Sus scrofa: one gene and its partners. The protein of the gene in region 4 interacts with the protein of the main gene of each other region in a pairwise test. Links are inferred from orthologs where the notes say so. Each region holds a gene or a part of one and is shown on either strand. Other genes may lie near its edges. The genes, in order: ENKD1, SH2 domain-containing protein 4A-like, FAM161A, CDR2, PKN1, C6H1orf216 and TRIM23.

What was found.
Region 1: the proteins of CDR2 (region 4) and ENKD1 interact in binary tests that used the Homo sapiens proteins (3 or more experiments, as listed by UniProt). The two-hybrid records come from large-scale screens. The link is inferred for Sus scrofa from reciprocal best matches to the Homo sapiens genes CDR2 and ENKD1.
Region 2: the proteins of CDR2 (region 4) and SH2 domain-containing protein 4A-like interact in binary tests that used the Homo sapiens proteins (3 or more experiments, as listed by UniProt). The two-hybrid records come from large-scale screens. The link is inferred for Sus scrofa from reciprocal best matches to the Homo sapiens genes CDR2 and SH2D4A.
Region 3: the proteins of CDR2 (region 4) and FAM161A interact in binary tests that used the Homo sapiens proteins (3 or more experiments, as listed by UniProt). The two-hybrid records come from large-scale screens. The link is inferred for Sus scrofa from reciprocal best matches to the Homo sapiens genes CDR2 and FAM161A.
Region 5: the proteins of CDR2 (region 4) and PKN1 interact in binary tests that used the Homo sapiens proteins (3 or more experiments, as listed by UniProt). The link is inferred for Sus scrofa from reciprocal best matches to the Homo sapiens genes CDR2 and PKN1.
Region 6: the proteins of CDR2 (region 4) and C6H1orf216 interact in binary tests that used the Homo sapiens proteins (3 or more experiments, as listed by UniProt). The two-hybrid records come from large-scale screens. The link is inferred for Sus scrofa from reciprocal best matches to the Homo sapiens genes CDR2 and C1orf216.
Region 7: the proteins of CDR2 (region 4) and TRIM23 interact in binary tests that used the Homo sapiens proteins (3 or more experiments, as listed by UniProt). The two-hybrid records come from large-scale screens. The link is inferred for Sus scrofa from reciprocal best matches to the Homo sapiens genes CDR2 and TRIM23.

The regions. Positions count from the first base shown.
Region 1 is NC_010448.4:28,282,550-28,286,342, forward strand, and holds the end of ENKD1 (enkurin domain-containing protein 1), read right to left. Parts: intron 3,392-3,793; coding exon 3,219-3,391; intron 1,646-3,218; coding exon 1,520-1,645; intron 1,417-1,519; coding exon 1,253-1,416; intron 1,154-1,252; coding exon 1,017-1,153; intron 927-1,016; coding exon 766-926; 3' UTR 559-765; downstream 1-558. Other genes in the region: PARD6A (partitioning defective 6 homolog alpha), read left to right, coding at 1-238. UniProt on the Homo sapiens protein: Microtubule-binding protein which regulates microtubule organization and stability. Promotes the stability of astral microtubules and facilitates the proper orientation of the mitotic spindle.
Region 2 is NW_018084867.1:67,291-71,538, forward strand, and holds the start of SH2 domain-containing protein 4A-like, read right to left. Parts: upstream 2,860-4,248; 5' UTR 2,737-2,859; intron 2,564-2,736; exon of another isoform or gene 2,509-2,563; intron 1-2,508. UniProt on the Homo sapiens protein: Inhibits estrogen-induced cell proliferation by competing with PLCG for binding to ESR1, blocking the effect of estrogen on PLCG and repressing estrogen-induced proliferation. May play a role in T-cell development and function.
Region 3 is NC_010445.4:79,962,565-79,966,198, reverse strand, and holds part of FAM161A (protein FAM161A), read right to left. Parts: coding exon 3,553-3,634; intron 1,980-3,552; exon of another isoform or gene 1,898-1,979; intron 462-1,897; coding exon 1-461. UniProt on the Homo sapiens protein: Involved in ciliogenesis.
Region 4 is NC_010445.4:23,827,744-23,831,377, reverse strand, and holds part of CDR2 (cerebellar degeneration-related protein 2), read right to left. Parts: intron 204-3,634; coding exon 1-203.
Region 5 is NC_010444.4:64,818,357-64,822,550, forward strand, and holds the start of PKN1 (serine/threonine-protein kinase N1), read right to left. Parts: upstream 2,828-4,194; 5' UTR 2,754-2,827; coding exon 2,715-2,753; intron 1,722-2,714; coding exon 1,418-1,721; intron 1-1,417. UniProt on the Homo sapiens protein: PKC-related serine/threonine-protein kinase involved in various processes such as regulation of the intermediate filaments of the actin cytoskeleton, cell migration, tumor cell invasion and transcription regulation.
Region 6 is NC_010448.4:91,887,693-91,891,865, forward strand, and holds the start of C6H1orf216 (UPF0500 protein C1orf216 homolog), read right to left. Parts: upstream 2,812-4,173; 5' UTR 2,598-2,811; intron 33-2,597; 5' UTR 28-32; coding exon 1-27.
Region 7 is NC_010458.4:44,136,258-44,139,891, forward strand, and holds part of TRIM23 (E3 ubiquitin-protein ligase TRIM23), read right to left. Parts: intron 3,206-3,634; coding exon 3,043-3,205; intron 1-3,042.

The DNA of each region.
Region 1 (3,793 bases), on a different chromosome or scaffold from region 4:
TCCTTCTGCTGGGCCTGGTGAGCCTGATAGTGACGATGACAGCAGTGATCTGGTCACTGAGAACCGCCAGCCTCCTTGTTCCAATGGGCTGTCTCAGGGGCCTCCATGCTGGGACCTGCGCCCAAGCCGCCTACTTCCTGGTGCCCGCAGCTCTCTGCCCTCCCTGGACGATCAGGAGCAGGCCAGCTCTGGCTGGGGGAGTAGCATGAGAGGAGATGGCAATGGCTTCAGCCTCTGACAGGCAAGGATGCAGGCCCTTGCCCCTCCAGGCTGCTGGGACATGGCAGAGACTTCCCCAGTGGGTGTTTTTAGCTTGCTCATGGGGCTGAATCAGTCTGGGGAACATTAAAGGTTTTCTACAAATGCAGTCATGGTCCTTGTGTGTCCCAGCCCTAGCCTCCTCCCTGATCCCACAAACCTTGCCCTCTGCCCTGGACATGAGGCAGGAGTGGAGGAGTGATAAAAAACAGTAGAGAGGTCTTCCTATAGTCAAGCAGCAGGAGGACCACCAGGCTTGGCATTTCTAGGGTAAGAAAAGATCTTATGGAAACAAACCCCGCTGTGTACAAAAGGTTTAATTTTGACAAAGTGATTAAGAGGCTGAGATGGCCCTTCCACAGCCACCAGTGGCTGTGAAGAGTGCTCTGGGGATACTGCCCACCCCACTGCTCCTGTCTTGAGGGCCACTCTATTATTGGGCCCAATCCGGCCCTTTGCAATCATGTAGCAATCCTCCCCGAAACCCGCCTACAACCAGGAAAGGACTCAGGCATCCATCTTCACAAAGACCTTGGGGCGGGAAAAGATCTTGATGGCCTCCTCTACCTGCACCAGCTTCCGGTCCAGTTCAGCACGGTGGCTCTGGGCCCTCAGGGAATCTGCCCCAGCAGGCAACAGCACCAGCTCACGCAGCAGCTGGCTCTGGCCTACAGGGGCCCCAGGAACAGTAAGTGCTGGGCAGGGGTGCACTGTCCCCAGTGGGCTCCCCATCCAGCCCCCTTTGCCCATGTACTTACTCTGGAGCAGGTTGCTCAGTGTCTCCAGCCGCTGGTTCTCAGGCATGCGAGTGTGGCCAGGGGGCATGGCCGGGTCTGGCTGGCTGTGCTGACGGGCCTCAGCCTCCCGTCGCCACAGATCCCTGCGCTCCAACAAACTGCGATGCACAGAATCAGAATGGATCATCCCAGGGCAGGTGTTGGCTCCCACCCTCCCTAAGTGCCCCTGACCCTGGGTATTGGGCAGTAGAACCTACTAATGGGGCACGTGACCCTTCTGTGTGGCATTATAGTGCTCCTGGGCTTGCCGTTGCTGCTCCAGCACCTGTGACAGGACTTGGAGCGAGCGAGAATGCCGCCGGGGGGCCCTCTTGGCAGTGCGGGCATTGTGGGTAATGAAGTCCACACCTGGGCCTGGCCCCTGGAGGACATGGCAGGCGTGATGAGGCAGACAGCACTGTGTTGTGCCCTTGAACCTCCCCAGGCTCCCTGCCCCACCTCCCAGGCCCCAAACATCCTCTCACCTTAGCATTGGGACCTGGCGGGGTTAGCTGGGGACTGGGGACACGGGGTGGTGGGAGCCCAGGGCCACAGCGAGAGTGTGCCCGCAGGAAGTGGGCAGGCTCTGTCCCGGAAGCAGGGCCGGGCTCCTGGAGGCCAAGTCACAGCAGAGGGATCAGTCAGGCTGAGGTCAGGGTCTCAAGTCGTAAGACCAAGACTCTGTCCCTCCAGGCTCTTAGGATCTTTCACTATCACCAGCCCTAGAGGTCTGGCCTCCCTCCTCTTGAAGGAGCACTTCTCTCCATCAGCATTTAAACATGTGTGTTTTTCACATCTTTAAGAAAACAAATAATCTTCCTTTTACCTTAGTCCTGACTTCAGGTACTATTCTCTTGCCTTCCTAGCCAAGCTTTCTGGCTCTGTCCCCATTAAGGTCTCCGATGCCCGACCTCCAAGCCCTCAAATCTAAGGCCACTTCCCTGGTCTCATCGTCCTCAGCCTGATCCTCAATAACTCCTGGGTCTCACTCCTGAGATCCAGACCTGATTCTCCATCTGCTTCCTGGACACATTCCCACTCCCTGGGAGTCCCACAAATGCTTCAGCTTCAACACATCCACATATGACCTTAATGTCTTTTCTCTCAATCCTGCTTCTCCTTCTCAGGCCCCTGGATAAAGAAATGGTGGCATTATCTATCCAAGACACAATCCCACTACCATATATGCCCCTGCCCATACCCTTCCCACTGTCCCTAAAAATAACAGTTATAAGTGGATTATGTGGTTCCCCCGCCTTTTTTTTCTTTTTACAGCTGCACCTGTGGCATATGGAGGTTCCCAGGCTAGGCGTCGATTTGGAGCTGCAGCTGCAGGCCTATACCACAGCCATGGCAACGCCAGATCCAAGCTGCATCTGTGACCTACACAGTAGCTTGTGGCAATGCTGGATCCCTAACCCCCTGAGCAAGGCCAGGGATCAAACCTGCATCGTGGATACGGATACTATGTCGGATTCTTTTTTTTTTTTTTTTTTTGGTCTTTTTTAGGGCCGCACCCGCGGCACATGGAGATTCCCAGGCTAGGGGTCAAATCGGAGCTGTAGCCACCGGCCTACACCACAGCACAGCAACAAGGGATCTGAGCTGCATCTACGACCTACACCACAGCTCACGGCAATGCCGCATCCTTAACCCACTGATCAAGGCCAGAGATAGAACCCGCAACCTCATGGTTCCTAGTCGGATTCGTTAACCACTGCACCATGACGGGAACTCCTATGTCGGATTCTTAACCCAATGAGCCACAATGGGAACTCCTATGTGGCCCTTTATGATGTGGGTCCAGCTGACTTCTTGGCCTAACCTCATGTTCTTCCCTCACAGTGCACTGAACACAGCATCCCCACTGGCCACACTCCCTCTGGTCTTAGGACTTCTATCCATGAGGCTCCATCTCTATAGAATGTTCTCTTCCATTCTCCCCTTGTCTAATTCCTACTTGCTCCTCAGAAGAATCATAACTTTTTCAGAAGTCATGACTTCTGAAAAAAACAAAACAAAACAAAAAAACCCAGCCCCGCCCTGCAGCAAAACCAGCTGTCTCCTAGTCCCCTGTCACCTTAGTCCCTTGGGATTTTCCTCCCTCCTCAGAACTCAGGTCAGAGTATAACTGCCTGTTGGCCAATAAGATGGGCAATACTTCTAGCTCCTTGGGGTAGGTACCTGCAGCCGGGCCTTGACACGGGACTCCACTTTGTCATACTTGGGTGAGCGCCACAGAGCCTTCAGGGGCCTAGGCTGGCCCTGCTCCCGGGTGCGCTCCTGCTCACGGAAGCGCCTCTGGATCTCCCTGATCCGCCTCAGGTTCTCCTGCTCGTGGTCTTTAGGGTCCTTCCCTGGAGAAAAGATGGTGCCAGGCTCTGCCCTACCTACAGCCAATGCAATCCACTCACACCAGTTGACTCACAGGTCCACACACTGCCTCCCACAGAAAGACCTTCCTGATGTCTCCATTTAAGTTAGATTCTCTATACATACTCCACCTCATCTCCCTGTTCCCTTCCTCACATGGTAATTATCTTCGTCCATCCCTGACCATTTTCTACATTTTCATTGTCAAGTATACCATTAATCATCTTGCACATCATATGCATCTCCTCACTTGTTTATTGTCTCCCACCTTGATTCAATGATGCTCTTCTTTAACCTTGTTTTCTTAGAAACTTTAAGGTCTGGTGCACAGTAGACGCTCAACAAAAATATTTCATTTAGGCCTGAATTCATGAAGGTGCGCTACA
Region 2 (4,248 bases), on a different chromosome or scaffold from region 4:
AACGTCCTCATGCTGGCACACGCCTCTACCAGGCCTGACTTTCATAGGAATAAAACACGTGGAGAAGGAGCTGCTCAGGGAAGCTGGAAACTTCTACTCTGTTCCCCATTTTGAATTGGGTGACAGCAACACCGACGGTGTGGGGAGAGCCTAAAAACTACAACTTGGCACGTGCCACCTTCACAGCGCCCCCTCCCTCCAGCACTGGTGACAAGCGCTGACTCCTGCTGGGCAGCCACCACCTTGAGCCCTGCACATGCAGTAACTTATGAACCTTCACCATAACCTTGGTGTTCAGTCCCTCCCTCTGCCCATTTCACAGAAGATGGAAAGGGGCGGCACTGGGCGGTTTGGCTCCACGTCACTGCAGGAGGTTTTCTCCGTGAGCCCAGAATCAGAACATCATCAGGATGAGGCCCCACGGGTGAAGTTTCAGAATGAAAACCAGCAAATTCTAGAGGCAGCGGAAACGGTGAACCGAAGGTACATGAGGCAGGGTCCTTCTTGGGAGGCAGAAGCCTCATCTCTGTAACTGCAGGTGGGCTTTGGGGACGCTGGGCATTGAAAAGCCCTCACCCCGGAAAGATGGCGGGAAGTGACGTCATGTTGGCGCAGGCGCAGATACTGATGCCCAGTCAGTCACTGAGTATTGAGCCTCCTCAGTCCCCCTCCTACCACCCCCAAGAGCAGCACTGGGGGCAGGGGGCAGAAGGATGGCAGGAAGGGACACAGTCAAGACCTCACAGCTGCGATTTTGTGCCGTTTTGCCTTTTGCAACAAATAGATTTTTGACGTTAAAGTGGATCTTGAAGGAAAGACACTGGCCTCCCCCTGTCCTCAGGGGAAACTTGGGAACATAGTTTACAACCTTTCTGTGGGGTGAGGCTGAATAATATGCATGCCACTCGGAGGCTGTGAACACCCACCAGCGTGAACGGAACTCCTTCCTCAAACACAGCACAGGAAGCTCTCGGCTCACAGCTCTGCCTCTCCTGAGCTGTGGATGTTTGCGTTGTCACTTCCCTTCCTCGGACTCAGTCTCCTTGCCACGAAATGAGCCTGAACTTGAATCTTTGTCATCTTAGGAATACACTACATTATAGTGCGGAGTTCCAGACGCAAGTGGGGCTGGGTCAGCGGAAACAGAAACAAGGAAATTAACCAACCAGGGGTTTCCCCTGGTTTCCCTGACAATCAGTGCTTGATACGATCAAACACAGGTAACTTCCGTATCCAATTCATTGAGTGCTACCCAGTTATTTAAGATCCAGTAGAAAGGAAAACTCAGCTAACTCTTTTCCTCCTGAGCAGCACTATTCTTAAAACACAGAAATGACAACAAGCAAAGAGTCCACATCTGCTATTTTTTTTCCAAAAATTCAAAGGGTCATGGCACCCATATTTCCCAGAGCCACTGTTTTATAAACAGTAATTATATTTTTTGGTATTTTTTATAGCTGCACCGGCGGCATTTGGAAGTTGCCAGGCTAGGGGTCTAATCAGAGCTGCATCTGCAATCCATGCTGCTGCAGCAGCAATGCAGGATCCTCACTTAACCACTGAGCAAGGCCAGGGATCCAACCCGTCTCCTGTGGACACTATGTCAGGTTCTTAACCACTGAGCCACAACAGGAACTCCAAGAATTGTATTTTGAATGACTCTGAGATCTTACTTTACCAGAGATACGCCTAAATCATAAAAATATTGTAATATGGACAGTGTACTTTAATGTTAAAAACATAGTTTGAATTCTAATTCTTTTTAAAAAGCCCTGTTTCCAGACTTTCCATGCTCTTACTCAACTTTACCTTGTTAATCTATCTGCAAAAGGGCTATTTTTGAGGATAAAACAAATTACCATGGGTGACAGCAGTTTGGTAAATTTGATAAATACATACCATTCTTCAGGTATTTAAAAATCGCTGTACGTGAATTTCTCCAGAAATTCCTCTCACATGCCAAATCTGTACCTGGGATAGGCCTTCACTCACTTATTCACTTAAAATAATGATTGTATCCCAAGTCATTTCTATTAAACAGGCAATCAAACAAAGCCTTTTAGGAGGTGAGCAGACTCCAAGTTTAGAAAGAGAGGAGGGGAGTTCACTTGCTCTTCCAGTGACTCTTGGGAGGGTAAGACAATTCTGAGCAAACCTGCACAGTTTTGCCCTCTTCGCTGCCCCTCATGCCACCTCTGGGGAGCCCGCGTGAACCAGAGGGCGGGAGAGAGCAGGGAAAGGTCACGGCCAGGCCACCTGCGGCCACAGTCTGGTCCGCCTTCCGGGGGGCGGCGCGCCCACCCTGGGCCCTGCGCGCCCACCCTGGGCCCCACCCCGCACCCTCAAAGGCAGAAAGCGCCCTCAGACCCGGCCTTTCCCTCCGCCCGCGACCCCCACGGGCCACTGCCGGCCTTCTGCACGCTTCCTCCCTGGCAGCCCCGCTCGCGCCCCTCGGGGGACGCGGCCGCCTGCAGCAGGAGCTTCCCGCGCGCCCCGCCGCCCGCGTACCCCTCACCACGACCGCCGGCCGGCCCTCAGCGCCTCTGCTCTCCCGCCGGTGCAGCGACACCGGACACCGACACCGGACACTCGCCCGCCCGCCCCGCCAGCACCTGACCCCCCGGCGGAGGAACGCGCCGCGCGCCAGCGGGACCAGAACCCACGGGGACATCCACCCCCGCCGCCCGCCCGCTCGCCCGCACTCACTGGCCGCATCTGGCCCCTCCCGGCCCGCACCTGCCTGCGCGGGGCTGGGCCGCCTGATCGGGTGCCGAGGGAGGAGAAGGAGCAGTCGGCTGCACAGACACGCGGCCGCGACATGAGCCAAGCGCGTCCCCAGCCCGCCCGTCCGTTCGAACCTGCGGCACCGGGGCTGGTCCCGCCGCGCGCGTCCTGCGGACGGTGGTGAGATCCCGGCCAGGCACCAGGCTTCCTGGCAGGTGGGGCCTGAGCCGGCGGCGGGCGGGCCTTTCTTCGCTCCGCGGGCTGAACTTCTGTTCTGGCGCCTCTGGAGCTCACTTTTTGTTGTTGTTGTTGTTGTTGTTGTTGACTTTGAGAAAATTACCAAACTCTTGGGCACTTGTCCGGAGGGGTGTGGCTTTGTAGGAGGACAGGACCAAAGAGGAGAACAGCTGGAAAGATGGAGACTGGAGACAGCGGGGACGGGGAGAGAAAATGAAAGAAATCCAAAGAGAAGGGCAGAAGAAAAGGAATGCTGAGAGCAGCGGCCAAGTCAGGTTGGGGTGGTTGCTGAAGGAGGAGGAGCTGGCCGAGGAGGGAAAAGGAAATCTGGGAGGAAAGTTCAGTAGAAGCAGCGTGGAAACATTGGGGGGGCATGTTCCTTCTAGAGGAAACGTTCAGAATGTGTGCGGCAAACAGCCTGCTTTGGTGACCCCATGGTGCAGGTGTCAGGGAGAGAGGTTATAGACTGCGATGTGGTCCTCTTCCACGCAGCCTGCCTGACTTGCTCCTTCAGAATGAAACCTTCCCATTTCTAGGCTTCCCGTACTACAGAAGTTAGAGCCTTGGGGTAGAGGTCAGTCCTCCTGCCTAGCTATTTAAAGGCTATTCTGGAGATCCTATCTGGGGAGAATTCCTGGTTCAGTTTGGTTCCACTGCTTATTAAATGAATGGCCCCTTAGGGTCTTTCTGGCTGGAGTGTCATTTGGCCCTGGCTCGCTGCTGTGGCCAGCTCTGAAGGAAGCCTAACACTTCTTGCATGGGCAGTGGAAGAACTGTAAAGTGAGCATTTAACACATCTGAGAACCATTTAATGAACACTTGCCAGGAGCCAGGCCAGTGGTGACACTGGGGGCCTGCAGGGAACAGATGGCCAGGGCCTGCATTGCCATCCTCCCTGCAGCACTGCCTGCTACAGCAGCTCTATGTTTTATACCTCTTTGAAATCATAAACATCAAGTAAGGACTAATCTACCCCAGGAAGGTTTGAATCCTACCCAACACCCAGACACACAATAGGTATGCAGGATGTGTTACAGTTCAAATGCTCCACATGGTAAAATTGCTCCAAAAAACATCAAGGGGCTCTGTTATGTAATTACGAGGCCCTGAATTATTTTCTGCCCTTTGGGCCATGCTCTCAGTGGAAACATTTCCGACTCTGGCATCTGCAATGCGTTGTGGAGGACTGTCGCCTTCACATGGCAGCAACACTCCTACAGAGAGTAGGTCTGGGCCACGGGCCCTTGGCAGGAGACAGGGGCTGAGCCTCTGCTTCCTGCTGGTCCT
Region 3 (3,634 bases), about 56 Mb from region 4:
AAAGGGGAAGAAAAACGAATGCAGGAACTGGATTGGCTCGGAATTTTTTCTTACACTCTAATTCTTCTTCTTGTTTTTTAAGCAGTTTATGTACCATTTCAACATCTGACTTAGATTTCATGTTCTCTTCCTTTTTCTTCTGCTCTCTAATCATCATTTGAAAAGGCTCAGGTATTGTGATCTTTGGAACCCATTCTTTTGGTTTCTTTTTTATTTTTTCAAGTGCTGGCAAGTCAGCATCTTCAAACTGAATATAATCTTCAACAGAGAAGTTGGTCCACATGTTGTTGATGAGCTCCTTGGCATAGGTCATCATTCTGCTTTTCTCAGAATACTCCTTTTCTAAGTTGGGTGACTCATCTTCAGAGGAATATACAACCAAGGAGGAAGACTCACCTAAATCAGGCTCTGAAACCGATGTCATTAACGAGACAGGACAATAGCTCTTTTCTGATACAGACCTAAGTAAGTGAAAGGAGTAATTAGGTTACTCTTTCAGTTGCATGTGACTAAATATAAAAATTAAGAATTACATAGTTCCGGAGTTCCCGTCGTGGCGCAGTGGTTAACGAATCCGACTAGGAACCATGAGGTTGCGGGTTCGGTCCCTGCTCTTGCTCAGTGGGTTAACGATCCGGCGTTGCCGTGACCTGTGGTGTAGGTTGCAGACTCGGCTCGGATCCCGCGTTGCTGTGGCTCTGGCGTAGGCCGGTGGCTACAGCTCCGATTCGACCCCTAGCCTGGGAACCTCCATATGCCGCGGGAGCGGCCCAAGAAATAGCAACAACAACAACAACAACAACAACAACAACAACAAAAAGACAAAAAGACCAAAAAAAAAAAAAAGAATTACATAGTTCCAGAGTTCCCGTCATGGCTCAGTGGTTAGCGAATCCGACTAGGAACCATGAGATGGCAGGTTCAATCCCTGGCCTTGCTCAGTGGGTTATGGATCTGGCGTTGCTGTGAGCTATGGTGTAGTTTGAAAACGAGGCTTGGATCCCGAGTTGCTGTGGCTGTGGAGTAGGCTGGCGGCCTCAGCTCCAATTAGACCCCTAGCCTGGGAACCTCCATGTGCCGTGGGAGCAGCCCTAGAAAAGGCAAAAAGACAAAAAAAAAAAAAAAGAATTACATAATTTCTGGGAGTTTCCACTGAAGCTCAGCAGAAACTAATCTATCATCCATGAGGACACAGGTTCAACCCCTGGTCTAGCTCCGTGGGTTAAGGATCCAGTGTTGCCAGGAGCTGTGGTGTAGTTCGCAGCTGTAGCTCCAATTTGACCACTACCCTGAAAATTTCCATATACCGCAGGTTCAGCTCTAAAAAAAAAAAAGAATAGATTTACATAATTTCTAAGATCAAGATAAAATCAGTTAGATGGAGTTCTCTTGTGGTGCAGCAAGATAAGGATCAGCTGCTGTCACTGCAGTGGCCTGGGTCACTGCTGTGGCGTGGGTTTGACCCCTGACCTGGGGACTTACACATGCCAAGGGTGCGGCCAAAAAAAAAAAAAAGTTAGAAAATAGGAGCTGGTTAGGGCTTGTGAAAATTATCGCTTTTTTTTTAGAAGAAAGACTGCGAGATGCTTATAAACAATCTTTTTTTTTTGGCTTTTTTTGCTATTTCTTTGGGCCGCTCTCGTGGCATATGGAGGTTCCCAGGCTAGGGGTCGAATCGGAGCTGTAGCCACTGGCCTACGCCAGAGCCATAGCAACGCGGGATCCGAGCCTCGTCTGCAACCTACACCACAGCTCACGGCAACGCCGGATCGTTAACCCACTGAGCAAGGGCAGGGACCGAACCCGCAACCTCATGGTTCCTAGTCGGATTCATTAACCACTGTGCCACGACGGGAACTCCCTTATAAACAATCTAATTGGACTTTGTCATTTACAGGGGAGGAAGCTGAGACGGCAGAGGTGCCTTGTATCCAACCGCTACTGAATTCTCCACACATCTTCCAGAGTCACTATCATAAAACACACATCTGACCACCTTATGCCCCTTCCAGAAACTTTTCTACAATTTGTTGTTACAAAGTCTAGATTATAAAGCCCTTGAGGACTAGCCCTTGTCTACCTTTCTAGTTTCACATCTTGCCTCTCCCTCCCCTGTCGCCACTCTTAAGTCAGATCTAATCATGGGAAGTTCCTCACACAGTTTTCTGTGGCACCAGTGCTTTTGCACACATGGCTCTGTTGCCTAGAATGCCATTCCTTGCTTCCTACATCTGCTTCAGCCATTTCCCCTTTAAGATTGAACACAGGACACTTCAAGTACCTGCATCCCTCCACTGACATCTTGACATAATCAACAGCTTCTTCCTCTGTCTCTAACACTCTGCTACACTGTGTTGTATTTCTGGATTTCAGCTAGTCTTGGACTTCCTTGAGGGCACTTTAATTTTGACTCCTCAGTGCCCAGGCACAGTCTGGCACATGGGAGATGCAAATTAGCACCAACCAAGTGGATGAGTTAAGGGACTTGCCTCGAGTTTCAAAAGAAGCAAGTTTACGGCAAAAATTACTATTTTTTGAAAACTTAAATCAAGATTTCTTTTTTCTCTCTCTGTCTTTTCTAGGGCTGCACCTGCAGCATATGGAGGTTCTTGGGCTAGAGGTCTAATTGGAGCTACAGCTGTTGGCCTACACCACAGCCAGAGCAACTCGGGATCCGAGCAGCATCTACAACCTACACCACAGCTCATGGCAATGCCAGATCCTTAACCCACTAATTGAGGCCATGGATTTGAACCCACAACCTATGGTTCCTAGTCAGATTCATTAACCACTAGGCCATGGTGGGAACTCCCAGATTTATTCCTTAGTCCTGAACAATTCATACTCTATCTTTAATAAGCTCATGTTAACTATAAAGAGCTTTTAAAATTAAATTTTAATACTCATCATTTGAAAATGGCCCAGACTAAATATTTCTGATAAAGTCTTAAAAGTGGTGGGTCAGAGAGGAAGGACCAAATGGCCACTAAATGACCCTCAAAGCAAGAAGCCACCTAGTAGGTCGATAGGCCAGCAAACAACCTGAATAAAATTCTACTTCTGTATATCACTAAAAACACAAAGGGATGGAGTTCCCTTGTGCTTCTGTGGCTTAAGGATCCAGCATTATCACAGCTGTGGCTTGGGTTGCTGCTGTGGCACAGGTTTAATCCCTGGCCTGGGAACTTCCACATGTCACGGTGTTGCCAAAAAAGAATTTAAAAAAATTTTTTTTAAAAGGGATATTTGCGGAGTTCCCATTGTGACACAATGGCATTGGTGGTGTTTTGGGAGTGCTGGGACACATGTTCGATACCCATCCTGGCACAGTGGGTTAAGGATCAAGCCATGCTGCAGATGCAGCTTAGGTCAAAACTGCAGCCTGGATCTGTCCCCTGGCCCAGGAACTACATATGCTGCTGAGAAGCCAAGAAAGGGGGAGTGGGGATGTGGGGAATATTTGTGAGAAAATATTCTGAAATAATTTTGTTCTGCACTTTTAGGTACACATTTTATTTTACATTCCACAAATAACATTATGTACAAACTTACTTAGAAGAGACACTAGCAGCTTCTTCCCTGGTGACCACTGGCTGAACTTCCTTTAAATTTAGTTTATTCTGGTACATTTTCT
Region 4 (3,634 bases):
GCTGCCGCTCCAGGTCGCGGTTCTCCTTCAGCACCAGCCCGAACTCCTCCTCCATGGTCACTCGCTTCTGCCGCTCCAGGCTCAGCTGGGCCTGCAGCATTGTCACCGTTTTCTTCAAATGCTCGTTTTCTTCTTCATCGGGGCTTTGCCGACTTTGTAAGGAAGTGATCTGCTCGGCAAACACGTGATCGTACACGAAGTGCCTGGGGAAGATGTTTAAAGACTCTGTTAACGCAGGAATGCAAAGAGGGAGGCTGATGATTTTTTCCAACTATCTATTTTTGAGGAGCTGTGATGCAACTGATTTTTTTTTGCCTACTCCATGCTAGAGCAATGGTTACAAGGAATGTGTGAGGCTGGCAAATAAACACGTGAGAAAATATAGCTTTTGTGACCGATATTTTTTTAAACATTAAAAATACTACAGGAGGAATTCCCGTCGTGGCGCAGTGGTTAACGAACCTGACTAGGAACCATGAGGTTGCAGGTTCGATCCCTGGCCTTGCTCAGTGGGTTAAGGATCCTGCGTTGCTGTGGCTCTGGCATAGGCCGGTGGCTGCAGCTCCGATTAGAGCCCTAGCCTGGGAATCTCCATATGCCGCAGGAGCGGCCCTAGAAAAGGCAAAAAACAAGACAAACAAACAAACAAAAAATACTACAGGAGTTCCCATTGTAACTCAGCAGGTGACGAATCCAGCTAGTATCCGTGAGGATGCAGGTTTGAGTCCTGGCCTGCTCAGTGGGTTAAGGATCTGGCGTTGCCGTGAGCTGTGGTATAGGCTGCAGAAGCAGCTTGGATACTTGTTGCTGTTGCTGTGGCACAGGCCAACAGCTGCAGCTCCAATATGAGCCCTAGCTTAGGAACTTCCATGCGCCTCGGATGCAGCCCAAAAAACAACAACAAAAAAACACTACAGAACATCCATTCCCAGAGAATAGCAGGATCACTGATACTGGTCAAGGAAATTAGCACGGCCCAGTGGTGCTCGGCCTTGGCCGCAGCCTAGAATCACCTGGGCAGTCAAGAGAAAACTACTGATGCCTGGCTCCCATCCCATAGATTCCGACCTAGCTGGTCTGCCTAGATGTGGGTCTCTCTCTCTTTTTTTTTTTTTTTTGCCATTTCTTGGGCTGCTCCCGAGGCATATGGAGCTTCCCAGGCTAGGGGTGTAACTGGAGCTGTAGCCACCGGCCTACACCACAGCCACAGCAACGCAGGATCCGAGCGAGCCGGGTCTGCAACCTACACCACAGCTCATGGCAATGCCAGATCCTTAACCCACTGAGCAAGGCCAAGGATAGAACCTGCAACCTCATGGTTCCTAGTCGAACTCGTTAACCACTGAGCCACGACAGGAACTCCAAGACGTGGGTCTTTCTTAAGCTCTTCATGTGATTCATAATATGCAGCTAAGTTTGAGAACCACTGCTGCAGTGATTTTTAACCAGGAACAGATGTCAGAATCACCTGGGGCAGCCTTTTATTCCCACTTAGAGATTCTGATTTAGGCCAGAGGGAGTCAAAATGATCTTGCAGTTTGAAAAACTCATGGGACCTAATCAAACTTACAAGCTTTTGCACAGCAAAGGAAACCATAAAAAAAAAAAAAAAAAAAAAAAAAAAAAAGACAAACTACAGAATGGGAGAAAATAGTTGCAAATGATGCAACTGACAAGGGCTTCACTTCCAAAATATACAAACAACTCATACAACAGCAAAAAACCAAACAACCCAATTGAAAAATGGGCAGAAGACCTGAATAGACATTTCTCCAAAGAACATATACAGATGGCCCACAGGCACGTGAAAAAAGCTCACTAAAACATCACTAATTATTAGAGAAATGCAAATCAAAACTACAGTGGGTGCCATTCACATCAGTCAGAGTGGCTATCATCAAATCAATAAGTCTACAAATAACAAATGCCGGAGAGGGTGTGAAGAAAAGGGAACCCTCCTACACTGTTAATGGGAACGTAAATTGGTACAACCACTACGGAGAACAGCATGGAGGTTCCTCAGAAAACTAAATGTAACACTAGCATATGACCCAGCAATCCCACTCCTGGGCATATATCCAGACAAAGCTTTCACTCAAAAAGACATATGCACCCGCAGGTTCACTGCAGCACTATTCACAATAGCCAGGACATGGAAACAACCTAAATGTCCATCGACAGATGAATGGATTAAGAAGGTGTGGTACATATACACAATGGAATACTACTCAGCTGTAAAAAAGAACAAAACCATGCCATTTGCAGCAACATGGATGGAACTAGAGATTCTCATACTAGGTGAAGTCAGTCAGAAAGCAAAAGACAAATACTGTATGACAGCACATACCTGGAATCTAATATGTGGCACAAATGAACCTATCTACCGATAAGAAACAAACTCATGGACATGGAGAACAGACTTGTGGTTGCCAAGGGGGAGAGGGAGGGAGTGGGATGGACTGAGAGTTTGGGGTTGGTAGAAGCAAACTATTGCATTTGGAGTGGATAAGCCATGAGATCCTGCTGTAAAGCACAGAGGAACTGTATCTAGTCCCTTGTGATGGAACATGATGGAGGATAATGTGAGAAAAAGAATGTCTATTATAACTGAGTCACTCTGCTGTATAGTAGAAATTGACAGAACACTGTAAATCAACTATAATTTAAAAATTAAAAAAAAAAAGAAAAACTGCACAGGGTAATCTGATGAATAAGGCTGCGGACCACCGAATGCACGAGCTGGCCTCTCTCTGGTTCAGGGTCCTAGACAACTTGGAACTGTACTTTATGTGTGTGATTATCTGCTTCTCTGCTTCTCCACGGGACTGAACTGTCTGTCTTGCTCACCACTCCACATACCTGCCTTGTGACAGGGGCTCCAGAAATATCTATTAAATAAAGACTCAATCTCATAACTCTTAAGTTGTAAACACAACTCTGCAGGCCAAAAAAGAACCTCTTCTATGGGCCTGCATTTTTGTTTTACTGCAATTTCCATTTTTTTCTTCACTGACATGTGAAATACAACCTCCAAATCTGTAGTCTATCAGAAGCACTGCACCTTCTTGTAAATTAAAATTTAACAAGTTAAAAGCACTGAACTAAGGAGATCCTGTTGTGGCGCAGTGGTTAATGAATCCGACTAGGGACCATGAGGTTGCGGGTTCGGTCCCTGGCCTCGCTCAGTGGGTTAAGGATCCGGCGTTGCCGTGAGCTGTGGTGTAGGTTGCAGACGCAGCTGGGATCCCGCGTTGCTGTGGCTCTGGTGTAGGCCAGCGGCTACAGCTCCGATTCGACCCCTAGCCTGGGAACCTCCATATGCCACGGGAGTGGCCCCAAAAAGACAAAAAAAAAAAAGCACTGAACTAAATACTCCCAAGTTTTTAAAAAATCAGTTTTCACAGAATTACTAATACCCAAGAACTCTATCATTTGTATGTTTGTTTTTAATTTTTGTCTTTCGTCTTTTTAGGGCCACACCCGCAGCACATGGAGGTTCCCAGGCTAGGGGTCAAATCAGAGCTGTAGCTGCTGGCTTACATCATAGTTCACGCCAACGCTGGATCCTCAACCCACGGAGCAAGGCCAGGGATCGAACCCGAAACCTCATGGTTCCTAGTCAGATTCGTTTCCT
Region 5 (4,194 bases), on a different chromosome or scaffold from region 4:
GGGAGGAGAAAGAACTGGGGGCCAGGGGACCCAACCACACCATCGGTCACAGGAAACCCTCTCAGCGCTGGGATAGGACCAGCATGAATGAGCATGGGCAAGTGTCCAGGGGTGCATGAGTGCCTGGTGTTGGTGTGACTATACATACCTTTGTACAGAAGCCCCCAACTATGTACATGGCTGTGTGGCTGTCCATGGGTGTGGCTATGCTTATGTCTGTGACCCGAAGGGTGTTGGCATAACTGAGCATATGTGTCACCCCAGGTGCTAGTGTAACTGTGAGATGTGAGGTGTTGGAGTGACTGTGTGAGGCTCTGGGTGCTGGGGTGACTTTATGCATATGATTCCGACTGTCGGCACAACGGCATGTTCAGATTTCCTGGCACTGGGACCACTGTGTCCAAGTGTCCGGGTGTTGGTACAGTCAGACATGCGTGTCTCTGGATGCTGACAGAGATCTGTGTCAGGCTCTAGACAGTATTGTGACTATGCGGGGGACTCTGGGTACAGCTGTGACTGGATGAAGTTTTGGGTGCTGGCTGAACTCTATCTCAGAGTGTTGATGTGACAGTGTTGGTTTTCAGCTGTCATCTAGGCAGTGTAGGTGTGTTGAGGTAAGTGGTGTTGAGTCTTGTCTGATTGCGTATGTAAGTTTTGGGCTGTTGATGGATTGGAGAACATCTTAAGGACTGGGCAGATCTGTGTAAGTGTGACTCTCTGGGGGTTGGTGTGAACATGTCTAAGTCTCTGGGTGTTGTTCGTGTGACTATGTATTTCTCTAGGTGCTGGGTGGTGGTATGGAAGTTTCTGGGTGTTGTGGTGAGTCTATGAGAGTCTCTGGATATTCATACATTAAGACAGGTGCTGGCATGACTGTGTGAGAGGGTCACTGGCTCCTGATGTGATGAGTTTAAGGGTCTTTGGTCACGAGATGCAAACGTTGTGCAGATCCTTTGCACAATAATGTGCGTCTTCTCAACATCATTGAACTATAACCTTCAAAATGATGCATTTTCTGTTATTTGGGGGTTTTGGGGGCTGCACTCGCAGTATGTGGAAGTTCCAGGTCAGGGATCGAACCCATGCTACTACAGTAACCAGAGCCACTGCAGTGACTACATCGGATCCTTAACCCACTGAGCCCCAGAGGAATTCCTGTTATGTGAACAAGTCTTTGGGGGTTGTCCAAGTGGTGTGTGACCATGTGAGTCTAGATACTCATGTGGGTGTAAATCCTTTGGGTGTTGCCAAGGTGTGGGTGTACCTGTGTGTACCTTTCTCTGGGTGTTGGTTTTGGCTTCTTTTCTGGTTGTATTCTGAGATAGAGCTGTCATGAGTGTGTTTCCCTGGGGGTCAGTAGTGATGGGTGAGCCCTGGAACCCCCACAGTCCCGCATCCCTGGGAAAGCCTGGCTCACCATGGGCAGTGGCTGCGGGGTCAGGCAGCACCACATGGGCATGCAGCTCCTGCAGCTGCTGGTGCAGCAGGTCAAGCCTGCGTGAGGAGCCACGCAGCACAAGCTCCACAGGACCCAGGCTGCGGCCCAGGTCGGTAGTAGCCCGACGCAGATTCTCAGCTCCCTCCTTCAGCTTCAGCTCCTTGCGGATCTCCCGCCGCAGCCGTTCCCGCTCCAGCTCCAGCTGCTGCTGCACCCCGGGGGCCGCCAGGTCGGCACCCGCCAGGCCCAGCTGCTCCAGCAGGGACCAGCTGCGGGGCTCACTCTGCAGGGGGGACGGAAGACAGAGTGGGGTCAGTGGGGACCAGGAGGACTCTGGGGTGCAGACCATACTCAGCCAACCTGGCTTGGCCTCCTCTCAGGGTGGGACTCCTGACACAGGGCCAGCTCCATGTTCTCTGACCACCCCTCACCGCCACCAAAACTGGGAAGTGAGACAAGACGCTGTCCCTGCTTACTGACATCACCAAACTGTGGTGTCCCCAGGGCAGGGCCTTCTTCCTTCCCTGTCCCCTCGCCTATGGGTATAGTTCTGTCTCCCTTCATCTGTTCCTATGCAGTGAAACTCTGGAAGACAAGCCCCATCACTCCACCACTGTGTCCCCCATGTTGGGGGTTCCCTGAGGACAGGTACTATTGCCCTTCCCTTGTCCTCTCAAATTAGAGGGTTCCAGGGACAGACCTCATCTCCCTTATGCTGTCCCCCCAAGTGACACAGTCCTGAGGGCAGATCCTTTTCCCCTTTTGCTGCCCCCCAAACTGGAGATAGGCCCCATCTCTACTCCCCTATCCCCCAAAGTAAGAGGTCCTGAAAGCGGGTTTCATCTTCCCTCTGTTGCTCCCCAAACAAGGAAGTATCAAGGGCAGGCCTCTGGTGCCCCCCAAAACCATAAAGTTGGGGTCTCAAGAGCAGGCCTCCACTCCTCACTGCTGTGCCGTCAAACTAGATGCTGAGGGACAGGCCTCGTCTTCCCTTCTCTTGTACCCCCAAACTAAGAGACAGGCCCTGTCTCCCCTCCTTTCATTCTCTACAACCAGGACCCTAAAGAGCAGAGCCCTGTCCTCTTTCTCCTCTGTCTCTCCAACCTGGAAGACCCAAAGGGCCCCCCGATACTTTTATCTTTCAAACAGAAAACTCCAAGGCCAGCGCCCCATCTCCTCCCCTCAGTCCAAAACCCAGAGCCAAGGGCAGGGCCTCTGGCCCGTGCTGCTTGGGGTCCTCTTCTGCCAACCACCCCATAAGGACCCCAGCCCCCACCTCCAGCTCCCGGTCCAAAGGGGGACCAGCCTCCGCCATCCTGGGTCCCGGCTGAGGGCCCCGCCCTCTTCCTGAACCTCAGCCTTGCCAGGGCCTCTCGCCTGCCACTTCCTCTTTCCTGCTAGCTCCCAGCAACCCCCGCGACAGGCCGGCTCTGGGGCTCTGGGGCATCTAGAGGGCCTTCCTCCCAGCCCCCACTCCAGGGCTGAGCCTGCTTCTCTGGAGGCATCCCAGGAATGGCCCCAACTCCCTGAACCGAGAGGAGACCCAAGGTGTACACAGAATACACACACTCACAAGCCCACTAGTGTGGACACAAAGAGCAGCCTCCCCCATGTGTACAGGCTCCAGGGGCTGACCTGGGTGGGCTCGCACCCTCGTGTACCCATAGGGGTGTGCACAGATCACAGGCTGACGAGTGTGTGCACACCCCCACGCCTGCCCCTGTGTACATTATACGCAAACACTCAAGAGTGCTTATGTGAGCAGCCCAGCCCCCTTCCTGCAGACACAGCCTGTCCCAACTTCCGGCTTCTCAGCTCGGTCGCCCGCTGCTGCTGACCACACCTTGGAGGCTTAGGAGGCCCAGCCAGCCCAGCGGCACCTCCTCAAGGCCCACATTGTGAGGGGACAGCACTGGAGGATTGAGGTGAGGGTGTCCCCAAACCAGGGGCTCACTAAAACTCAAGTATGACTATTAAGAATGGTGACAGTTACTACAATTGCACCCAGGTCGACTAATGCAACTCCAGGAAGCAGGTGCTATTATCATCCCATCTTCTTTTTTCCTTTTTTTGGAGGGGGCACCTCACAGCATGTGGAGTTCCTAGGCCAGGGATCAGATCTGAGCCTTATGCTGTAACTGTGGCAACGCTGGATCCTGTGCCAGGCTGGGGATCAAACCTATATCCTGGAGCTGCAGAGATACTGCCAATCCTGTTGCACCACAGTGGGAATTCCTATCGCCCCATTTTCAAGATGAGGAAACTGAGGCCTGGAATGGTGACATAACTTGCCCAAGGCCCCTCAGCCAGCAGGAGGCAGAACTGGGATTTCCAACAGGAATGCCTAGAATCTGAGCACTGGCTAGGTGTCAAGCATAGTGCAAAGAGCTCCATGTACATTATCTGCTGCCACTGTGAGAACCCATTTCAGAGATGAGGAAAGTCATGGTTGGATCCTGACCAACTTCCAAGGCAGCTGACCCCGGGGAGAATTTACTTCTAGCCAAAAAATATCCCTCCCAGGATTCTACCGACCCCTCACATTATCCTGAGCAGCTGTCATAATTCTCCCCCACTTTATAGGTGAGGAAACTGGGGCTCAAGAGGTGACAGCTTCAGTTCTCAATGGAGGAAGGGATTTTACCACCACCACCCAACTTTTGGGGACATCTGGCAACATTCAGAGACATTTTTGGTTGGTTATCACAACTAGGGGTGCGACTGGCATCTACTGGGTTGAGCAGCAGAATGATGCT
Region 6 (4,173 bases), on a different chromosome or scaffold from region 4:
AGCAACCCCTGGCTGGACGGCAAACATCTGGTCTGTAAAGGGAAGCAGAAGAATGTAGTCAAAGCAGGATGGTGTGGGTTGCTGAGGTTGAGACAACCTGGCCACAGGACAAGGCTTCTCCTTCTCAGCCCCTTTCCCTCCACTCTGGTAACACCTTCCTTTGCAGTCTTCTTCCCCCCTCTCTGTCTGCCGATTTTCCATCTCCTCACAGGGTTTTCCCTTAGCCCTGGGAGGCAGCTTGTCTTCTCTTAATGCACTTCTTCCCAAATGACCTCATGCTCTGCTGTAGCTTCAAGAACAACCATGTGTTGGGGCACTCAGATCTGTCTCCAGCCCAGACCCGACAGCTACCAAATTCTGCAACCAAGCCTGGGTTCCTCAAGTTCCCCATGTCCAGACCAGCTCTCCCCGTTCCATGTCCGCAGCAAGACGGCCCCACTCTCCAGTCCGTCACTGTAGCTAAGAATCAAGAGCAGCCTGGACTCCTCACTTGCTTCATTCCCTCCTCACTAGCCATCAAATTCAGACAATTCTTTCTCTTAAAAACCTCAGAGAGACACAGAGAGGGAAAGAGAAAGAGAACGTGCGTCTGTACATACATCTCCCCTCGCTTTCACTTGGTTAGGGCTGTTTCTGGATTACTGACTGCTGTGGCCTTTTCGCTGATCTCTCTGCCTCTAGTTAAAAATTTAACTTTGGGAGTTCCCGTGTGGCACAGTGGAAACAAATCTAACTAGTAACCATGAGGTTGCAGGTTCGATCCTTGGCCTCACTCAGTGGGTTAAGGATCCAGCGTTGCCATGAGCTGTGGTGTAGGTCACAGATGCGGCTCGGATCCTGTGTGGCTGTGGCTGTGGCATAGGCTGGCAGCTGTAGCTCAGATTTGACCCCTAACCTGGAAACCTCCATATGGCAGGGTGTGGCCCTAAAAAGCAAAAAAAAAAAAAAAAAAGTAAATTTGTCATGGCTCCCCCCAACAAACTCTGGCTAAACCCCTTTATGGCCTACAAGGCCGTGCTTCATCTGGCCCCTGCTCACGGCTCCAGAATTGCTTCTTGCCACTCTGCCCCTCCCACCACCCCAAACTGCTCAGAGATCTCAGGACACACCATTATTCTCATTACACAGTTCCCTTGGCCTACACTACCCTTCCTCTCCCCTTCCCTCCAAACTCCTCCCTTTGCCACCCAGACAATTCCTTTTTGTACCTCAAAACTCAGCTCTAATAGCCCCACCTCTCTAAGCCATCTGGATATTCTCCCCTCTGCCCAAAAGACACTAACACAGCTAACTGTGCCTTCTTCTGAATCCCCACTGCCCTGGGTCTTTTTGCCATTTTCTTGGGCTGCTCCTGCGGCACATGGAGGTTCCCATGCTAGGGGTCGAATTGGAGCTGTAGCTGCAGGCCTACGCCAGAGCCACAGCAACGCGGGATCCGAGCCGTGTCTGCAACCTACACCACAGCTCACGGATCCTTAACCCACTGAGCAAGGCCAGGGATCCTAGTCGGATTCGTTAACCACTGAGCCATGACGGGAACTCCCATGTTTGTTTCTTGATGGTCAGTAAATGTCTATTCAAGTTTTTGGGGTTTTGCTTTTTTATCTGTCTTACAATAGCAGCTTCCACTTCTGGCTCTGTGACTAGAGATAGAATTCCTCTATATATCTTCCATCATATTCAGGAGCCAGTATGGAGCCTGGCACTAACCAGGTACAGTAGATCCTTGCCGAGTGAGTGTGTGAATGGGGGAGGGGGACTGCAGTGGGATATCTATGCTCAGGAAGACCCCAACAACAGTAGCAGAGGCTACAGCTGAAGCCTAGGTTCGCCCCTCTGCTCAGAGAGGAACCCCCTCCCCCACTGACAAGCCTCTCTCCCCTGACCCGGCCCTTTGAAGCCTCCATGTCTAGCACAATCCCGGTGCCCCTGCCTCTAGCTTGCTCCATCCTGAGGCCCTGGAAAGAGGGCATGCCCCATTATTCTTCCTCCCCAACAACCGACCTCTCCCAAAATTAGTGTTTACTTGACGAGAGCTTTCTATTGACCATATATTACTAGGATTCGAAAAAGTGGGGGTTCAGTAAGAGTGAGGGATAGTGTAAGTGGAGGGAGCAGGGACCCTTCCCACATTCAGTAGTGGGAAGAGGTCCTAGGAGCAACGGTTTAGGGACAGTCCCTTTGTAACCTACACACTCCATCCTGTTAAGCAAGGGGCTTGGAGATCTTCCTGGCCCAATGTTTTCTTTTTTTCTAAGCTTGGGCGGGGGCCGTGAGGGAAGCTGGGATGAGTGGAGGTGGTACTAAGAATCACGGGGTTCTCAGAGACGGTAAAATGGGAATGGAGACAGCCCAGGATCAGGTTTCTCTCCAAGCTAATTAGCAATTTGCCGAGGTGGGGCGCTCTGTAAGGGTGGGAGGAGGCAGCCCCCCTTCCTGCCTAGCCTTGAGGGGGTGGGGGAAGGAGACTACCCCGGGAGACCGAGGATACTGACGGCCCTTCCTTAATCTCCCCCAAAGAGGCAGCTGGGCCGAGGCTGCGACCCCCGCCCCCTGCGGCAGGGGTCCAAACCCTCCCGCTCCGGGCCCCCACTCACGGCCTGGAGGCGCCGGCCCGCCCAGCTAGCTCTGTTCCGAAGGCCCGCGGCGGGAACTCTTCCGTCGGGGTTGTGGCGGGGGCGGGGGGGGGTTGTCCCTTGGCCTGGGCGTCCACGCGGGCAGGGGCGTGGGTGCGGGTTTTCGTGTCGCGCTCCCACCCAGGCCGGGACTGCGGAGTCGCGCGGCGTCAGCGCGGCGGGGCGGGGCGGCCAGGCCCACGTGGGTCGGTTCGGTTTTCCGCGGAGCCGCGCGAGGGCCGGAGCGCTGGAACCGCCTCCTGAGCCTTCGGCACCTTTGACCCAGCCCTTGCAGACTCTGTTTTATTTCATAACTGCGTTCACAGGATCCCTCCGATCGGTTTGCCTCACTGCACATTCAGTGACATTTTCAGAATGAAAATCTGATCATGTCTCCACCTTCCTGCCTAAAACCATTCAATGGCTTCCGCATTGCAGGCTAAATCCTTAGGGCAGCAGCCGTGGGGCTCTGAGCATCCTGCTTCACCTCTGCGGCTTCAGCCTGTGCCCTCGCCTCTGCAGCTGGGCTTCACGCCCCTTCTGCCACACTGTTCTCTCTGCCGAAAATTCTCTCCCCCATCTCATATTTCGGATCTCTTCTCAGAAAAACCTCTAACCTCCCAGATCAGATTAGTCCCCCCTTTTTATGTTATCCTCCAGGGTGTTTTATTCCTTTTCTTAATAGCAGCTATCACCATTTAAAGTTATATGTTTCTTTTGTGCTTATCTGATTAAAGTCATTTAATGAACAGAGTAATTGCTGACTCTATTGATAAAACCGAAAAGCACTGGCTGTTAAGGAGAGGCAGCCCCAGAAAAAAATATGGGACAAATTTAGCCTTCAGGTCATAGGATCTTCCAGAAGATCCCTTCTACACCCTCACCTTTACTGGACAAACCAAGCAATTGGCTATAACTTCCCCATGCTCCCCCCTCCCCCTGCCAATTAAAAACAAGCACAACTAGGAGTTCCTGTTGTGGCTCAGCAGTTAACGAACTGACTAGTGTCCATGAGGACTATGGTTCGATCCCTGGCCTCACTCTGTGGGTTAAGGTTCTGGCAGGCCATGGTGTAGGTCACAGACGCGGCTAGGATCCAGCGTTGTTGTGGCTATGGTGTAGACCGGCGGCTACAGCTCCAGTTGGACCCCTAGCCTGGGAACCTCCATAAGCCATGGGTGCGGCCCTACAAAAGACAAACAACAACAACAACAAAAACCCTCAACTAAACTAATATGGATTCATTTTTGAGTCGTAATACATTAGAAAATACCATTGTCTTTCCCCCTCCTTTCTTTTGCTTTTTTTTTTAAGAGAATTTGAGTCTGATCTCTATGATGAGGCATCCTCTTCCATTCCCAGCTTAATTCTAACTTCCCACTCTGCAATAGAGATTAAATGGCAAATTAAATCACACCAACACATCCTGTAAACAAAATAAAGGAAGTGGAAGAGAAAAATCATTTTATGATTAGGACAACTATTTTAAGAGAGAAAAGGAAATAAAACGGAAAAGGAAGAAGTAACTCAAGCTTTGGGTACTCCCCCAGCTAAAAAT
Region 7 (3,634 bases), on a different chromosome or scaffold from region 4:
TCAGTGGTTAACGAATCCGACTAGGAACTATGAGATTGCAGGTTCGATCCCTGGCCTTGCTCAGTGAGTTAAGGATCTGGCGTTGCCGTGAGCTGTTGTGTAGGTTGCAGACATGGCTCGGATCCCATGTTGCTGTGGCTCTGGCATAGGCCGGCAGCAATAGCTCCAGCAACAGCTCTGATTTAGACCCCTAGCCTGGGAACCTCCATGTGCCATGGGAGCAGCCCCAGAAAAGGCAAAAAGTCCAAAATAAATAAATAAAAATTAAAAATTTCTCCATTTTCTGTTCACGCTAGAACAGCTGTCTTTAATATTCTCTTTATAATACCAAACACGGAGTTCCTGTTGTGGCACAGTAGAAACAAATCTGACTAGGAACCGTGAGGTTGCGGGTTCGATCCCTGGCCTTGCTTAGTGGGTTAAGGATCCGGCATTGCCATGAGCTGTCTTGTAGGTCGAAGACACGGCTCAGATCTGGTGTTGCTGTGGCTCTGGCATAGGCCAGCAGCAACAGCTCCAATTAGATCCCTAGCCTGGGAACCTCCATATGCTGCGGGTGGGGCCCTAAAAGGACAAAAGAAAAAAAAAATTCCCATCCTTTGTGGCTCAGCAGGTTAAGTATCCAGCATTGTCACTGTAACAAACCAGGTTTCTTAGTGTGCAGGTTCAGACCCTGGCCCAGGAATTTCTATGTGCCACGGGTACACCAATAAAACAAAAAATAAAAACTAAATAAATCTGCTGAGCTACCAGGGAACTCCTAATTATTATTCTATAATTTAACTTTATAAATCCTTTTTTGTTCTTTTTTTCTTTTTTTTTAGGGCTGCACCTGCAACACATGGGAGTTCTCAGACTAGGGGTCAAATTGGAGCCGCAGCTGCCAGCCTGCACCACAGCCAGAGCAACAGGAGACCCAACACAGGTCAAGACAATGCCAGATCCTTAGCCCACTGAGCGAGCCCCAGGATCAAACTCACATCTTCATGTAAACCACTGAGCAAGAAGAGGAACTCCTATGAATCCTATTTGCCACTGACTTTTAATACATATACTAAATCATGTACTTTAAATATTTTTTATAACAACCAATGGTAAGAAATACATTTTACACCACAACCTAGGATAAGACACAGTTATATGTGTGTGTGTGTGTGTGTGTGTGTGTGTGTGTGTGTGTGTGTACACAGATGTCTGATACAAAAGATTTACACATTAACATTCACCCTCACAGTGTGCAGGATGCAATACACTTTGATGCTCTGATGGGTTTTTGTTGTATTTCTTTTTTTTTTTTTGTCTTTTTTGTTTGTTTGTTTGTCTTTTTAGGGCCACACCCATGGCATATGAAGGTTCCCAGGCTAGGGGTCCAATTGGAGCAATATAGCAACACCAGATCTGAGCCACATTTGCGAACTACACCACAGCTCACAGCAACACCAGATCCTCAGCCCACTGAGCAAGGCCAGGGATCAAACCTACATCCTCATGGTTGTTACTCAGAATCGCTTCCACTGAGCCACAACAGGAACTCCTATCCTATTTCTTTTCTAAAAAAAAAATCCTGTTCATATCCAATTAAACTGATTTTATGACCACAAATAAGCTCTGATTCATGTCTAAAAAATTACAGTATGAAAGATACACTTAACCTAAAATAAATCCATCTTGAAGTATACCAGAACTAGAACAGTTAAAGATAGTATTTTCCACACTCCTCATCTAACCTAGAGCCCTAATAGCAGTCAATGAATATATAAACTCCTTCTCATGAAAACACACAGAGCTTCATATCAAAGCATGACAACAGTCCCTTTTAAGTAGTTAAGACTCTAGGCACATTTGAATAAGGATTGATATTTATTTTCCTCAGAACTGACCATAAAAGGCCAGGCGAGCATGCATATGTGCATGTACGTGTGTCTACACAATACGGGCATATGCACGTGCACATGCATAAACACATACACAAACTCTTCCTGAGCCTACAAATAAAAGCCAGATGCTTCAGCAATTAGAAGGAACATCCGTCTGTTATGATGAGCTTCTATACAACATATACCATCTGACAAAAAGCTGCCCTTAGCATATATTCACTTAAAAAATAAGTAAAAGGATGATGCGGTCATTGGCTGCAGACTCCCTTCTTCTTTGTTCCTCTTTTCTAAGGGAGGAAGAGAGGGAAAAAAAGGGAAGAGAAATAAAAGGGGATGGATGGAAAAAGAAAGGAAGAAAGAAACCATTTCTTGCTGCAGTGCACAAAAGTTTTTTTTTTTCAAACTAGGCTAATTATCTGTATTCATCTTTCTGATTTCTGTGACCTCCTTTCCCAACCAAGTACTTTATGCAGCCTATGTAGCATTTCCCCCTCAGCCTTGCTGGCCCCACTTCTGTGTGATATTGGTAAATAGCAACATGCTGAGACTCAAATGACTTATCTGTATTTCCACTATTGGTTTACTCATTTCTAAAGTAAATACTGTTTTACAGGTAAATAAATAAGGCTAGCAGGTTCTTCTCAGGTATCTTAAAACTATTCAACTTTAAGTGCTAAATATAAAAATCTCAGAAGATGAAATAAAACTAGTACATAAGTGTGCACTGGTTTATAGTGTCAAGATTATTGGCTTTAAAAGAAACTGAAATCAGAGCTTCTGTTACAGCTCAGCAGCTTAAGAATCCAACACAATATCCATGAGGATGTGAATTCAATCCCTGGCCTCACTCAGTTGGTTAAGTATCCAGAGTTACCACAAGCAGTGGTGCAAGTAGAAGATGTGGCAGGCTCGGATGTGGCAGCTCAGATCTGGCATTGCTGCAGCTGTGGCATAGGCCAGCACCTGCAGCATAGGCTAGCAGCTGCAGCTCCAATTCAACCCCTAGCCTGGGAACTTCCATACGCCACAGGTATGGCCATAAAAAGGAAAAAAGAAAAAAGAAACTGCAATCACCCTGGAATTTTACAACTTTAAAAGTCAATTATAAAGAAATTGTTTTCTATGACATTTGTGTTACATGAACAATTTTATATGTATTTCCTACCAAGGTCTGTTACTTGTCGATCAAAAGGGCAACGGATTGCTCTTCCATGAAGAGGCAGCCGAGTGAGACAGTCATGACAGACTGTATGGCCACAAAGCAGAAGGCGAGGCACTTTGTCTCCTTGCAAAGAAAAGACATCTTCACAAACTCCACATTCCAGCACCTAGTATTTGGAAAGGAAATGAGCTCTTTAAATGACTTTAAAAGCATAAATATTTTAGGCTAAAAAAATCCCTAATCTTGTTAAATTACTTTATTCTTTCATGAAAATAAAACTGTCTAGCTGTAAAGTCTTAAATCACCTTTTATCATTTCTTCTGACAGATGTACCAAAATTATATCACAGCGAAATTTCCTTTAAAGGATAAGTGTCAGGGACCAAGATAATGTTGTAAATTCAATTTCTTTTGCTTTTGAAAATTATTACATGATACATTATATCTGAATATGCAACAACAAATAACTCTACTGAACTTGGGTTCTTAAAAAATTTCTCCGCAATTACCTAATTCTAAAAAAAAAAAAATCATTAATTCGAATAAAAATAATCTGAAATGTGCCAGGATGACAATTTACCTTGGAAATGATAAAG